4 linked regions of the Mus musculus genome follow. The protein of the gene in region 4 binds, or shares a complex with, the protein of the main gene of each other region. Links are inferred from orthologs where the notes say so. Each region holds a gene or a part of one and is shown on either strand. Other genes may lie near its edges. The genes, in order: Cdhr2, Cdhr5, Anks4b and Ush1c.

Region 1 (3,564 bases), on a different chromosome or scaffold from region 4:
GTGTGATTGTGTGTGTGTGTGTGTCAGTGTGTGTGTCTCTGTGTACCTCTGTGTGTGTGTCAGTATATGTGTGTCTATGTTTGTGTATGTGTGTATCTCTGTGTGTCTGTGTGTGTTTGTGTATCTCTGTGTGTGTGTCTATGTGTGTGTGTATCTCTGTGTACCTGTGTGTGTCTGTGTGTCAGTGTATGTGTGTATGTATGTATCTCTGTATATCTGTATATGTTTGTGTATCTCTCTGTGTGTGTCTATGTTTGTGTTTGTGTGTGTCTCTGTGTGTCTGTGTGTGTGTGTGTGTGTGTCACTGTATGTGTGTATGTATGTGTCTATGTGTGCATTTGTGTGTATCTCTGTATGTCTGTGTGTGTCTCTGTATGTTTGTGTATCTCTCTGTTTGTGTCCTACCGTGTATCTAGGGCGGTGTGTGGGTGTGGGAGTGCTGTGTCTCTGTGTGTGTGTCTATTTGTGTATTTATGTATATTTCTGTATTTGTGTATGTGTGTGTGTTTGCATGTCAGAGTGTGTGTGTGTGTGTGTATGTGTGTAAGTCTGTGTGTGTCTGTGTGTATATGTCTCTGTGTGTCTGTGTGTGTCTGTGTTTGTGCATGTGTGTCTGTGTGTGTGTGTCTCTGTGTATCTCTGTGTGTGTCTGTGTCTATGCGTCTGTGTATCTGTGTGTGTGTGGTTTATGATTTGTTTTAAGGCCAGGTCTTGCTATGGAGCCCAGGCTGGCCTCAAATTCAAGCTGCTCCTGCTTTTGTCCCCCAAACGACAGGGTGACAGGTCCATCTGACTATGACAAGTATTCTGGATAAAACTTCAGCAAAGCGTGCCTTTAATCCCAGAACTTGGTAGACAAAGACAATTGGTTGTCTGTGAGTTCAAGGTCAGCCTCGTCTACACCGGTGCTCCAGGCCAGCCAGAGCTACATAGTGAGAACCTGTCTTACAACAACATAATATAAAAACAAACAAAAGAGGAACACAGGCTAGCGGAGAACAGCAGGGGCTAGAGGCAGGGAAAGCACTCACATTCAGAGTGGTCTGTGTCTCTAGGGCAGGACCCAATGTGGGCTGATCTTGGGCCTGAACTGTCACCTGGTATGTGCCTTGGATAGTAGAATCTAGGTTGGTCACCAACCTATGAGAGAAGTAAAGACATAGCTTTATTCCATAAGCAAATCTGGGTTCTTACAGTCCTACTGAAAAAACACCTGTACACACTCCAGGATGGAGACCCTGCCTCAGCCTTGGGCTCCCTCTCCCCTCCCCCCTCCCAGGAGGCCATCACCACAGTACTCGATGCTGCCAGTGAACAGGCCAGCTTCCACTGATCTGGTAATCCGGAAGACCTGGACAGGGTTGGAAGTTCCATCTTTGCGGACAAATTCTGCTTTCAGGATGGAGAACATGATGATCCCATTGTCTTCTGAGTCCTCATCTCTGGCCTGGAGCAAGAGTGGATGTCTGGGGAGAGGCCGGGAAAGGCCTCCCATTCCCACCACAATCAGACGCTACAGTGGCCACTACAGAGCAGAGCTACTTTCTTATAGGTCTCACCATATAGTCCTGGCTGGCCTGGAACTCACTGTTACACCAGAATGGCCTTGAATTTTCTGTGATCCTCCTGCCGCTGCCTCAAAAGACTACAGAAATGTACATCACACCTGGCTTGGGCTTTTTAAAGATCAAGGTCACTACACATCCACATTTGCCTACGTTTTTTCTTGTGTACCCCAATATAACAGATCAACACCCTAAGCCCTCCTGTACTTAAAGCTGCCCCACTCTCTATTCAATTGCCAGGCACATACACACTCATTCCCAATCACAGCCTTGCTCAGCTCAAGAGCACCTACTGTGTGTATCCTCTCTCTAAAGCCCTCACTTCAGTCCTGTCTACATTCTCTAGTGGATCGGAAATGGACAAGAAGGAGGGACGAACATCTGGATTCATTCTAGTGTCTTAAAAAAGAATAAAACAGGTACATAGGGCTTCTAGCTCAGGGTGATGAATGTCTGGGCTTCTGGTTGTAAAAAGGAATTAATTAAAAAAAAAAAAAAAAAGCACGAGTTTGGAACCCAAGCAGTGGTGGCACACACCTTTAATCATAGCACGTGGGATGCAAAGGCAGGCAGAGCTCTGTGAGTTCAAGAACAGCTCTACAGAGTAAGTTCCAGGAAGCCAGAGCTGTTACACAGAGAAACCCAATCTTGGGAAGCAAAACAAACAAACAAACCAAAAAAAAAAAAAAAAAAAAAAAAAAAAAAAAAGCAGTGTTTGCCAGTAAAGTGCTTACCCTGCAGGCCCAAGGGCCTGACCTGTGTTTGGCTTTCAGAGACCACATAAAAGACCAGGTACAGACTCTAGCTGCATATGTATCAAAAGATGGCCTAGGCGGCCATCACTGGAAAGAGAGGCCCATTGGACACGCAAACTTTATATGCCCCAGTACAGGGGAACGCCAGGGCCAAAAAAGGGGAGTGGGTGGGTAGGGGAGTGGGGGTGGGTGGCTATGGGGGACTTTTGGTATAGCATTGGAAATGTAAATGAGCTAAATACCTAATAAAAAATGGAAAAAAAAAAAAAAAAGAAAAGACACAAGCTAACAGAATAAATGTGAAAACAGGACCCATCATTCTGCTGCATGCAAGAAACACAGCTCAGAATCAAAGATGACATTACTGCAAAGTAAAGGGCTGAAAAAATATTTTTAAGCAAAAAAATCTAAGAAACAAGCTTGAGTAGCCATCCTAATATCCAATAAAATAGACTTTCAACCAAAATTAATCAAAAGAGACAAGGAAGAACACTTCATACTCATCAAAGGAAAAAAAAAAAAAAAGACCAGGTACATTGGGATACACTTGTAATCTCAGCAAAGGGGAGGTGGGAACAGGTGTATCCCTGGGCCTGTCAGCCTAATAGGCAAGTTCCAGGCTACTGTGAGATCCTGTCTCCATTTAATAGCAGGATGAGGGGTGGCTCCTAAGGAACAATGCCCTACACTGGTTTTAGCACACACATGCTCATACCACCTACACGAATACGCAAATACACACACACACACATACACTCGGCCTAGCACATGCATACATGCCCAGGAGCATGTGAACCCACCTACACATGTGTTCCAGTGCACATGTGCAAAAGAAAACAATTCAAAGCCATGACTAAACTGGGACACTGGCATTCTGTTGGCTTGGAAATTAACTGGGTGAAGCCTTGTAAGAATCTAGAAAGAGGAATTTGCTGTCCCCAGGAGAATTCCTGTCCTAAGGACACCCTCAACTCTCTATGGGGACGGCCAGGCCTTTCCTAGTGCAGGAGCCTCTTGTCAAAGAGGCAGACTGAGCTGGGCGCAGTGACCCATGCCTTTAATCTCAGTATTGCAGAAGCAGAGGCAGGTGGATTCCAGGCAAAGCTGGTTTGCATAGTGAGTTCCAAAATAGCCAAGGCTACATGGTCAGAACCTGTCTCAAACTACACACAGAAAGGAAGGAAACTTAATCCCAGAGAAGCACGGCAGCTCCAGCCTCGGGGCTCACCCTACATGGCCTGGCC
Region 2 (4,290 bases), about 95 Mb from region 4:
ATCTCATTCAGTGGCTAGGACCACACCCAGCTGCCCTTTGAACCCAAGAAGCCAGCTAGGACATTTCTTATCTCTGGCATCAGCTGAACCCCTCTTTTCCCAGCTGAATTCCCTAGAGTGCCACCTTGCCCTGTGGTCCATTTAGCAAAATTTCTAGGGATCAGGGACTCCCCACCCTGGTCCAGCCATGTGGCCAGGGTAAATGAAGTGGTGAGGAGGAGGCTCAGGCGGGGTCATAGGGGTCCGCTTATGAGTGGGAGGACCTGAGTACATCCTGGCTCTAACATGTCTAGGCCTGAGGCCTGACGGTGATGTCATCTCCCAGTAGGCAGCTGTAGGACCAGTGAAGGGTTGTGAGACAGTGCTCAGTCTTTGCAGAGGCTTGGAGCCTCGGGAAGGTTTTCAGACACCTAAAGCAGCCAGCCCTGCAAAGGCCCACAGTAGTGAGAGCTGTGCAGGCCCTTTCAACAGAACACCCCCTACGACCCTCCTGATCCCACCCAGGGCCTTCTTCCTATCTCTGAGAGCTTACAGGCAAAAGGAGAGGAAGCATATCTAATGGAGGCCTGGGCTGTGTCCTCACCAGGATTCCTGTCTTCCATCAGATACTGGCTCCCCAAACCCCAGCTCCTAGCTGTGGCTGAAAGGTTCTATCTGCATCCTAACACCAACCAAGGCTCTGCCAGGCCCTACCCTGGGGGAACTGCTGTGTTTCTCATACAGCAGGAGCATACTGGGACACAGCCATTTCCCTTGGGAGTGGACGAGGGAAGGGAAGGGAGACGACATGACATAGCTCCAGGGATTTTGCTAGAGAACACTGAGGAGAAAGAGACAAGATGAGGGACACCCCAATGAGGGCTACAGTAGACCCAATGGCTCAGCCTGTTCTTGCTCCCAGCTCCCCACAGCCCTGCCCCCATTCCCCACAGCCCTGCCCCAGCTCTCCATAGCCCTGCCCCAGCTCCCCACAGCCCTGCCCCAGCTCCCCAGACCCATGGTTCCATCCCACAGGCCTGCTTCAGCCCCCAGCCCTGACTCAGCTCCCTACAGCCCTGCCCCAGTTCCCCACAGCCCTGCCCCAGCTCTCCATAGCCCTGCCCCAGCTCTCCATAGCCCTGCCCCAGCTCCCCATAGCCCTGCCCCAGCTCCCCAGACCCATGGTTCCATCCCACAGGCCTGCTTCAGCCCCCAGCCCTGACTCAGCCTCCTTAGATCTATGGCCCCAGAGCCTTGCCCTGGCTCCCCACACCTATTCTCCACTCCTCCTTGTTCTCAAGCTTCATACACCTTATGTGTAGTTCCCGTGGGTTGAGTCTCCAGCTAACTTCCTGGAAGTCCAGGCCGAAATATGACCTCATGTCCCCTGTTAGTGCCGGCCAGCGGGAGTCCCCTTGATAGAGGCCATCTGTAAAGGGTCATAAAATGAGGCGGTGCCTGGCAGGGGCGAAGGTCGCCAAGGCAGGAATTGTACCAGCCCTGGAACCAAGCAAGCTGGATCCTTCTTCCAGGTGACAGCTGCCGCCATGGGGGCTCCGGCCCTCCTGTGGCCTTCCCTGCTGTTGCCATGGCTCACAGTGCTGTTTGGCCAACCTCCGGGGACCTTGGCCCAGACCCAGGGTATGTGTCGGGCAGGGGCAGGACAGGTGGGTGGCAGAGCTCTGATGAGGAACCAACTTCTTCTTTCCAACTTTCTAGTCTGCTCTGTGAACCAGACCATATTTAGAGTCGAGGAGAACACCACTGTTTCTGAGCCACTGGTGAACATTTTTGTCCCAGACGGCCTGCACGTGACCTTGGGACCCTTGTCCACTCCTTATGCCTTTAGGATCGAAGGAAAAGATCTGTTTCTCAACGTGACTCCAGATTATGAGGTACAGTCTGTAGGCTGGATGGAATGTGCCTTCATGGAGACATACATGGGCGGGCCTCCTAACCTGGGGAAGATTCAGGGAAGGAGGGGCTGAGGGTTCTCTATCCCCCTGAGTGAGGAACCCTTCAGGCCCTGTGGTCGGTTGGTTGGTACTGAGGGGGAGGGCCGTAGGGGACAAAGCTGCCAAATGCCCCCCCCCACACACCCAGGATTTCCCACAGATGACTGGGGCGCTGGAGCGGTACCTGCTCTCCTAGCCGTACTCTCCCGTTCTAGAGCAGCATAGCTCCTTATGTGGCAAGTGACTCATAGGGCCCCTGGCTTCATCCTTAGGAAAACTCATTGCTCCAGGCAGATGTGGAGTGTAAGAGAGGAGATGCGGTGGTAAGTTAACCCCAGTACCTGATCACCTCTGCCTTCTGTCAGAGTACCCCAAGGCCATTCCCCCATGACCTCAGCTCTCTCCTGGCCACTCCCACGCTTGCTTCTTTCAGCCTAGACTTCCCTGAGCTCCAGACTCAAAGTCAGCTAACTTAGAGCTGTGGATTAAGTCAATACCCTGAGGCCCTAAGTCTGCCTCTCATCCCTCACCTGCCAGCCACTTAGGCCCCTTTTGAGGTCACCCCACCCCAGGTACATTGTTGGGATTGTCGGTTGTGCCTCAGTTAGAGTCAGCCCTACTCTTCCTACCTCTAGTCCCACGGGGCCTTGGGCAGCAGGTCTCCTTTCTGACCCTGCCGCAGATCCATTTGCTCTCCGTGCCCTTGGTCCTTCTCTATTCCTTCCCCCACATAGTGAATCCCTAGAGAGTCATAACCACAACCCCAGACAGCCTCACACAGAAACTTCTACGTTTCTTACCGGACTCCAAAGCTAAATGCACAGGTGGGTGGGTGAGGCAGGCTAGGGCATGCAGACACTGATCTGGTATGCAAATTCATTTTGATGCTTAACCCTCCTACGTTATGCTGCCCCGCTACCCTATCCCATACATCGTATCCCTCAGCCTCCACCACAAGCCTTTTACTAAAGGAAGCTCGAAGAAATAACAGGCCCCACATAATTTCTGCTTCACCATGAGCAACTCTCACACCCTGCACTCCTACCTGGCTCCATGACATGTTACCACACACATCTTGGGCCACGTCTCTAATAGGTAGTAATATTAAAAAAACAAAACAAGACAAAACTTATTTTTTTTTTTTGGTATAGTTCAGTGGTAGAGTATCTGCCTAGTATGATTTGAAGCCCTGGGCTCCACCTTCAACACATGAATATAATTCACACACATACACAGACATACAGATACACAGAGAGACAGAGACAGAAACAGGAAGACAGAGAGAGGCATGGACTTGGTATCTGTCACACCTGAGAAGAACAGCTTTCTCTCTGTCCTCCAGCACCTGGCTGTGTTCGTTTCTCCCTGGGTCTCAGGAAGGGTTCTCTCATGGAATAAAGCTGTTTGGTTTTAACCTAAAGGCCCCTTTCTCTGATCTTCTCTTGGAGACCTGTTTCTGAAGCCGCGAGAGGCTGTTTTTCTCCCTTCGATGCGTTGCTGGTTGTGGCCCTGGGATTGTCATCATTTCTCTTCAGCCCACCCACCACACACATGTGGCCACACTCTAAAACTTGTTTTTACAGTCTACGTTCCTCCTAGAACAGTAGCTCACAGGCCACCACATTATTGCTGCCATCAGAGCTGTGGAATGAAAGGGAAAGAATGACTGACTGACTGAATGAATAAGATAAGAATAATGAAACAGATAAGAAAAGGAATGAATGAATGATGGGTCATCAGAGCATTGCTGACTTTGGTGACTTTGCTGCAGGTGGTACGCCTGGAGGTGTTTGTGGCTGTCCTGGATATCAATGACAATGCGCCAAAATTCTCCTTTGAAATCAAGACATTTAATGTATCGGAGGTGAGCCCAGTCGGAACCAGTGCTGTCTTGAGCATGGAGAGGCAGGGGGACACAGGGTGTCTGCAGGGGGACACAGGGTGTCTGCAGGGGGACACAGGGTGTCTGCGGGACCACATCGGGAAGATCTATATACAGAAACCACAGCATGGCTGGACCAACCTCCTCTTCTCCATTCCCAGGACACCAAAGTGAATACAACCGTCATCCCTGAGACACAGCTGAAGGCTACAGATGCTGACATAAATGACATCCTAGTCTACACTCTGCAGGAAGTGACCCCCGTCAGTGCTTCCCCAGCCCCACTCATTATTGACAACCCTCACTCTTTCTGATGCCTTCAGGCCTCAGTTTCTCCACCTTCCAGAGTCCCACCTCCTTCCCCTCCACAGAATGCCAGCAAGTTCTTCTCCCTGGAGGGCGTAAACTACCCTGCTCTGAAGTTGGACCAGACCCTGGATTACTTCAAGAATCAGAACATGACCTTCATGCTGC
Region 3 (4,109 bases), about 74 Mb from region 4:
TGTATTCAATAAGTACATATTATGTGTATATATATATATATATAAGTATTTATACTTACAGTATTAATTGTTAAAATATTGTCAACTTTCATAATATATATGATAAAGAGTTGATGCTGTTAAGTTTAAAAGCCTTTTGAAGGCTATGAGATGGGTCAGTGGGTAAATTGTTCACTGTACAAGGCTAAGGCCCTAAGTTCAGATGCCCAGGACTCACATAAAGCCAGATCAAAGGCTTCTTCATCATTTTCCTGGCAAAATGAGAGGCAGAGACAGGAGAGTCCTTGGGGGGTCATGGGTCAGCTAATCTGAGATCACAAGAGACCTGTTCTCAAACACTGTGGAAAGTGGACGCCTGACAACCAAGGCTGTCCTCTGATCTCTACATATGCATCCTGGTATGCTGACACTACCATTAACCTCTCTCTCCCTCCCCCCCCCTCTCTCTCTCTCTCTCTCTCGCACATACACACACACACACACACCTTCTCTGAAAGCCAATTTTATAAATCAATATTTAAGAACCTGTTATAAAACTGGGGCAATGTTATAGACTCGCAGACAGAAATGTAAGGGCTGCTCAGCACTGGCGTTCTCAGTCTCACCAGGACCCTGCCTTTCCCCTTGTAAAAGTGATTCCCTATCGAAGAAGGGAACTTGCTTTTCCTAGTTGTCTTTGCCTGTACCTCCTCTCTCTCCTATCATGGGGGAGGGGGGGCTCCACCTTTGCCCTCCCTAGAGGTGGCAGCCATAAGAACCCATCATGGAAACAGAAAATTGATCTCTCCAGGTACCAAACTTCTTGCCAACTTGATCTTAGACTTCCTGGCTGCTCTTAAAATTATGAGAATAAGTTTTATCCTCTCTGAGTTACCTTGTCTGAGGTATTTCGTTATCATAGCACAAGTGTAGGCCAACTGACAACTTTAGTTCTGAGAATTTGCACTCGGAAAAAAAAAAGTATGGACCAGGACTTACGTGGAAGAACAATCATCACAACACTGCCAACTAGAAAAAAAAATGTAACAAATAGGGGGATAACCTAAGAAATAAATTTGCTGGTTATGATACTAAAGGTGTAAATTAAATAGAGAGTGTTGCATACTTCACTGCTGTAGCAAAACTGAGACATTAACTCAAAAAAAAAAAAAGAAAGACCTAACTTGAATAAAGCTTCAGGAGATGCCGTATAGAGAGTGAGCACGCTCTTTCTGACATGTTCCCCAGTCCAACGAGGTGGCCAGACCCGCAATCTGTTTAATCCAAACATGGATGTTGACCCTCGTCTTCCTTTACTTGCCACATCCAATCACTCTCTGACATCCAAACTGTCACTCACATCTCTGTGTCTACCCACGCCCAGTGTTACCACGTGAGTTTCACTTTACCTTGAATGTCCCTAGACATTCTCTGTGACCACTGTACAATCACCAGAACAATATTCATAAGCATAAATCTATCTGATGGCCTCCTTTGTAAATAGAGGGTGTGGTGTCTAGGCTCTCAGGAGAAGATTGAAGTTCTCAGCAGAATTCTCAAGGCTCCTGATAGTCTGGTCTTATGGCTTAGGTTCTGTCCCTGTGCAGGTCAGGTCCAGCCAAGCTCAATGTCTTCCATCCTCGGAATGCACAGTGTTCTGCCTTAGGGGGAAAACACTTCCCTCCACCTCGATCAGCTCCTTGTCTTTCTAATGTCAGCTTAATTTCCCTTCCCTGGCACGAGCTTTATCACATCTACCCAAAGCCGCTCGCTTGGCTTCCCCTCTCAGATCTGATTGCCACAGGAACACTAGGATGTTCTGTTGATCAGCACCATCTGGGCAGCACCAAAAATATATGAGAAGAATTGGAATCAGAGGAGGAAGGAGTGGAAGAAAGAGAAAGAGGAAGAAGGAGAGAGAAGGAGGAGAGGTGGACTGTCACCTGCCAGATGCTAAATATGCACTGTCCTGGAATCACTTGGCTCTCTTACTCTTTACCTCCCCTCCCGTCCTCCCACTCCCACTCCTCTCATTCTCCCAGACTCCTCTTTCGCTCCATTTCTGCCCATCTTAAGTCGTAGCTGCCTACCCTGACTAGCCCTCTGGCAATGAGCAGGACAAGCAGAATAAAAGAGTTAGCAAAGACTTGAATTTAAAGGTAAGGGATGGTGTGTGTATGTGTGTGTGTGAAGATTGAAGACTCATTTTATAGCTTGTAAAGCCAGAAATTTCATTCAAAAATTCAGCTTACACCAAGGCCGAGTGTTCATAAAAGATAGTTTTTAGTGACACAATTGAAAACGTAAAATAAAGCCATGTCCTAACCAAGGAGGATGACTGAACCAAAAAGCATGGTGACCTCTTTTTAAGGAGTTAACCATTTCAATTCCATGGATATGACTTTCAGGGCATATAGTTCCAATGCCTACCCCCACCCCTCTGCCTGAGTGACTCCTAAATGGCTGTTTTCACAGGGAAAGAAACCATACCTAGCTTAGTCTTGACTCTTTCTCTAAAAGCCAAAGACTTAGGGAGCCTAGAAAGAAGTAAAATGTCTTCGTGGATGTCTCTGTCTCTTACTGCCGGTGTGGTACTCCCCACCCAGGATACCCTAACAGGAATCACTCACCCTCTACTGCAGATTATTTCTAGGGCCTCGAGGTTGCCGTGGTAGGCTGCCAGGAGAGTGGGTGTCATGCCATCCTCATCTGAGAGATTCAGATCACGCTTGGTGGCCTCCTTCAGAAGTTCCAGGTAGCTGTCACTCGCTGCTTGGTGATAGCGGGTAGACATTTTTTCTGCCCACCAGAGCTTGGCCAGGTAGGAGTCTTTGTCTAGGCAGAGCTGGTAACACAGTCTTCCAACAGGGCTGGTTAATCAGTGACGGGGAGTATCACCCCAGGCCAAAGTTCACTCCGGCCTTGCTCCTTGGAAGGCAGCCAGCCAGGAAGACCTGCAATCCTGGACTTGGGCCTTTCCTTTGGGGACCAACCATGGCAATGACCACTGAGGCCTGACAGGTGTGTCATGAGTGTGGTGAAGCACGTTTAATCTTTACTGTGTCCATTAACTAGTGTCAGATGTGATACTGACCACCCACTCACAGAATATGGGAAATAATCTCAAAAAACTCTGAACTGTTTAAGTTCACTTGGGTGGGAGAAGGGGTGTTTTAATAGATTTTAGGGGGTCTAATTTGTACAACTTGAATTTAGCCATTTGAAGTATAAAATAAAAGATCTTAGTAAATTTACAGTTGTGAAATCTTTGCTATAACATGGAGGAGAGAAGGCCGATTGACAGGCCAGAAGACAAACAGGTCACTCTCCAGGAACTGCCACAAAAAAGCTTGGTCTAGAGAGTGTCACAAAAAGGAAACAGCACTTTCTTTTTTAAAAATCTTTTATAAATATTTCTATTATACATAAATACACATATGTCATTATATATACATATATATGTATATGATTAATATTTATAGATATTTTTAAATGATTCAAGTAGCAATACCCAGGCTATAGGAAAGAGAGGAATTGATGTTAGGGTTTTTTAATTGGTTATTTTGTTTATTTACAATTCAAATATTATCCCCTTCCCAGTTTCCCCTCCGAAAACCTCTATTCCATCTCCCCTTTCCCCTGCTTGCATAAGGGTGCTATCCCACCTACCTACTCCTGCCCCACCTCTCTAGCATTCCCCTATGCTGGGGCATCAAGCCTTCACAGGACGAAGGGCCTCCCCTCCCAGTGATGCCAGATAAGGCCATCCTCTGCTACATATGCAGCTGGAGCCATGGGTACCTCCATGTGTTCTCTTTGGTTAGTAGTTTAGTCCCTAGGAGCTCTGGTGGGTCTGGTTGGTTCATATTGTTGTTCCTCCTATGGGGTTGCAAACCCCTTCAGCTCCTTTAGTCCTTCCCCTAACTCCTCCATTGTGGTCCCTGTGCTCAATCTGATGGTTTGACTGTGAGCATTCACATCTGTACTGCTCCCAGCTCTGGCAGAGCCTCTCAGGAGGACAGCTATACCAGGCTCCTGTCAGCAAGTGCTTCTTGGCATCAGCAATAGTGTCTGGGTTTGGTGTCTGCAGATGGGATGGATCCCTAGGTAAGGCAGTCTCTGGATGACCT
Region 4 (3,564 bases):
GGGCTGTTGGAAAAACAGGGGAGTGAATGAGGCAGTCAGCACAGCTTCTTGATACACCAGAGCTGTGAGACTGACAGGTCCATACAGAGCAGTGAACTGGTGACCACCTCCAACCAAATCAAGTCAGTACGCATCAGATGAATCAGCCCCATTTTAAAGTGTTCATAGAGGTGCAGAAGTCAGTGAGCAGCAGAGCCAGGCTTTGAACCTGGGTCTTCTGGATCCAGGCCAGCACCCCAGGCTTCTCCCATACAGTCCCCACACTTTCGTGTCTGAGCAGGGACAAGCAGGCCTCCAGGTCTGAGGGCTGCTTATGTCTCTCCAGGTAAAGAGACTTCCAGGGATTTTGTTATCAACATCCCCATCGGGGAATAAGCCAGGGGCTTCAGGGGGCTCTAGGACTGATGGTGCGAGACCAGGGAGGAGGGGGTGGGGACAGCAAGATGACAGTCAGGGCTTTGTTCACAATCCCTGTCTCAGGGCTCCCGGTAGCATCTGAAATTTCAGCCCCCTCATTGTTCCTTCCCTCGGTGGCACATTTTCCAGCCCAGAAACACGGCCAGAGGAGAGAGCATAATGAGCTCCCCTCTTGGGGACAGCTGGGCCCCCCTTTTTTTCCAGCACAAGCTCTCCTCTGAGGACAAGCGCTTTCCTGCAGAGACCCATGAAGGAGGGCATCAGGGCGCACTCAGGAAACCCAGACATCCAACTTCCCACCTGCTTCTCAGGCTTATGAAATAGCACTCCCCCTTTCCGGGGCCCTGGGGCCCATCTCCTCTTTGTCCTACAATCCCTCAGATTGTCATGTTACTATGAGCTCCGTACAAAGGCTCTTTTGCAGGGTTCTGTGTAGAGCAAGGAGGGAGAGGGAAGTTGATCCTGCAACCCTCTCCAGGGGCTGTGGGGGAATCACTCCGACTAGGGTCCTGTAGTAACAATACAGGGAACTCCACTCAGGAGGAGCTAGGAGAAAATCGCCTTCATCCATTGATCAAACCAGGGTTCACGTTTCTTGTGCTGGAGGACAGCACAGAGAAGATTCTAGAAGTCAAGAGGGATTTGCCCTGGGATGCTGCAGGCCCTGCAGGGGCTTGAACCCTCCAGCAGGTCCTGGTCCTGGGACTTTAGTCACATTGCTTCTGTCCCCTCCAGGATACTTAGGTTTTTAACAATACCTTCTTTATGTTTAACTGTGTCCTTTATTCATGCACGTATGCAACTAGCTGTTTACTTGTGTAGAAAATGATTCTGCCCCCCTTCCCTGGCTCTGCTATAAGATGCACAAAGTAATCCCTGCCTTCTTATGGAACTCCGGGACTCTGAACAAGTGGCAGGACTCCATAGCAGGCAATGTGCAAGGAACTGCAGCCAGGCTTGGCCACATGCCCTCCTTTTCCAGACACCCAAGAGCCAGCATGTGTTGTCTGTCACGGAGACCTGACGACACATCCCAGCAGCCTCTTGGCTCACTGGGTGACTTTGAACAAATCAGTTCCTCCTGATGCCCCATCTCTTCACAGTGCCACAGTGGTCCCTACATAAAGGCCTTTTGGCAAGTTCTATGCAGAGCAGAAACACAAGTTCTTACCCTTTGGATTGAAAAACATAGGTTCAGGAAGCTATCTGGATGTTCTCTTTGAAGTCACTGTCCCCAGAAACGCAGCAAGTTCTTTGGAGAGCCCTCCTATCAGGACACTGAGATGGGTGTTTGAGTCCCAGAGAGATGGGCACACCCTTTCCTAGTGGTAATGAGAGGTAACTGTAGATTGTAGGCTGGGAACTGACCTAGAGACCATGTGCCCTCAGAGTCTAACCTGAGACCCCACATGTGCCAACCCTTCTCCAAGAGACCAACAGTAATGCGTGGGGTTTCAGGCAAAGCCACAGCCTTCATCTGCACGACGCCTGAGCTCTGTCCCCGTGTGTCTTCGTGTCCTTGGACAATACACCATTGTCTTGCACCCCTACCTGTCTCTTGCCCATTACCAATACACCTCTGCCTCAGCTTCCCTATCTTCTCTCAGGAGATGTTGATGTTCGAGGATCCTTCGGCTTTCTGGTAGAGGCAGCAGCGATGGCCAGCAGGGGGCAGTCTCATCATGCTCTGCCTCTTTGAACTGGCTCAGTAGGCCTCCTTAATAGCAACCATTTCTTAAGAACTTGCTGTGGGCCCCATACTGGCTGACCTTACACACTTGCACATATGTTTGCTTAATCCTCACTCAACAACTCCATGGTATTCTCTGCTTCATATATGAAAGAAACCATGGTTTAGAGAATCCAAAAGACTTGAATTTAAAAAAAAAGATTTCAACTCAGAGCACAGAGCCGTGGGTTCATTCTCTGCTCTTTGCCTGCTTCCAGAATCAAAACTCAGAAGTCAGTTTAACTTCATTGCATTTCCATGGAATGGAACAAAAGAGATTATATGTTTGTGTTAGTGATATGAGTTTGGGTCAAGTGTCATGCGTCCCCATTTCAGATCTCAGTAATTGGTAATTGATAGAGACAAAAGCCTGCTTCTAGGACAGGGAGGGACAAAGGCCAGACAGGGATGTTGGATTCCAGAACCTGATTGCACCTCAGTGGGGTGACAGAGGAACCAAGAGACGGTAACAGAGTTCCAAACCCTGCCTCAGCTCCATTACCCACCAACTGCATGCCTCTCCCCAGCTCAGATCTTGCTTTCTCCATCCTGGAGCTGAAAAGTGTTGCCTGCCGCTGTCGGAGGGTAGTTAGGCTGCGACACAGTACTAAAGCACAGATGAAAGCTTTTGCTTGATGACAGCCCCTCTGGGGCGGGGAGCACCTGGGAATGGGCCTGCTCCCCTGCTTGGCACTCTCCCCTGTGCCTGTTGCATCTCTCTCTCTGCCCAGGTAGGGGATGAAATTGTCCGGATCAACGGCTATTCCATCTCTTCCTGTACCCATGAGGAAGTCATCAACCTGATCCGCACCAAGAAGACCGTGTCCATCAAAGTGAGACGTGAGTGAGGCCGGACAGGAATGGCGCTTTGGGATGGGGGTTGGGTGGGAGGTGGCCCCAACCCCAAGGGCATAGGAGCTTCCCTAACCTGCTGTTTCCTCCCCACAGACATCGGACTGATCCCTGTGAAGAGGTAAGCAGGCTTATCTGTGAGTCTCCTCTAGGCCAAGAGTCCTGGGATCTACTCCACCCCCAGGCCCTGAACTTGCACTGCTCCTGGGCTGCGGGGGTGAAGTGACACAGAACCCAGCTCCCTCGAGTGTGCTTACCGGCTCCATCTTCTCTCTTGCCTTCGCCTCAGCTCTCCTGAGGAGTCCCTCAAATGGCAGTATGTGGATCAGTTCGTGTCGGAATCTGGGGTAAGAGACTACCTGCCATGGGGGTTCGGTAGCTGGCCTTGAAGAAGGAATGGCTCTGGGGAATGTAACCCCGGGGTCCCCCATAGGTCACTAGGGTACCTGGTATAGCATGGTAGGCCTTCAGACTCATACCGCAAGGATATGATGTCTCCAGTCTCCATGAATATTGGCTACTTAATCTGTATGTCTCAAGCTAAAAGGGCCACTTGAAGGCATGTA

What was found.
Region 1: Ush1c (region 4) and Cdhr2 share a complex: the UniProt entries of both Homo sapiens proteins name them as parts of the IMAC/intermicrovillar adhesion complex. The link is inferred for Mus musculus from reciprocal best matches to the Homo sapiens genes USH1C and CDHR2.
Region 2: Ush1c (region 4) and Cdhr5 share a complex: the UniProt entries of both Homo sapiens proteins name them as parts of the IMAC/intermicrovillar adhesion complex. The link is inferred for Mus musculus from reciprocal best matches to the Homo sapiens genes USH1C and CDHR5.
Region 3: Ush1c (region 4) and Anks4b share a complex: the UniProt entries of both Homo sapiens proteins name them as parts of the IMAC/intermicrovillar adhesion complex. The link is inferred for Mus musculus from reciprocal best matches to the Homo sapiens genes USH1C and ANKS4B.

The regions. Positions count from the first base shown.
Region 1 is NC_000079.6:54,728,920-54,732,483, reverse strand, and holds part of Cdhr2 (cadherin-related family member 2 precursor), read right to left. Parts: intron 1,448-3,564; coding exon 1,299-1,447; intron 1,141-1,298; coding exon 1,032-1,140; intron 1-1,031. UniProt on the Homo sapiens protein: Intermicrovillar adhesion molecule that forms, via its extracellular domain, calcium-dependent heterophilic complexes with CDHR5 on adjacent microvilli. Thereby, controls the packing of microvilli at the apical membrane of epithelial cells.
Region 2 is NC_000073.6:141,273,955-141,278,244, reverse strand, and holds the start of Cdhr5 (cadherin-related family member 5 isoform 1 precursor), read left to right. Parts: upstream 1-1,458; 5' UTR 1,459-1,526; coding exon 1,527-1,620; intron 1,621-1,698; coding exon 1,699-1,874; intron 1,875-2,206; coding exon 2,207-2,257; intron 2,258-3,705; coding exon 3,706-3,798; intron 3,799-3,977; coding exon 3,978-4,079; intron 4,080-4,187; coding exon 4,188-4,290. UniProt on the Homo sapiens protein: Intermicrovillar adhesion molecule that forms, via its extracellular domain, calcium-dependent heterophilic complexes with CDHR2 on adjacent microvilli. Thereby, controls the packing of microvilli at the apical membrane of epithelial cells.
Region 3 is NC_000073.6:120,172,583-120,176,691, reverse strand, and holds the start of Anks4b (ankyrin repeat and SAM domain-containing protein 4B), read right to left. Parts: upstream 2,835-4,109; 5' UTR 2,774-2,834; coding exon 2,610-2,773; intron 1-2,609. UniProt on the Homo sapiens protein: As part of the intermicrovillar adhesion complex/IMAC plays a role in epithelial brush border differentiation, controlling microvilli organization and length. Plays a role in assembly of the complex.
Region 4 is NC_000073.6:46,224,965-46,228,528, reverse strand, and holds part of Ush1c (harmonin), read left to right. Parts: intron 1-2,877; coding exon 2,878-2,986; intron 2,987-3,094; coding exon 3,095-3,119; intron 3,120-3,287; coding exon 3,288-3,345; intron 3,346-3,564. UniProt on the Homo sapiens protein: Anchoring/scaffolding protein that is a part of the functional network formed by USH1C, USH1G, CDH23 and MYO7A that mediates mechanotransduction in cochlear hair cells. Required for normal development and maintenance of cochlear hair cell bundles.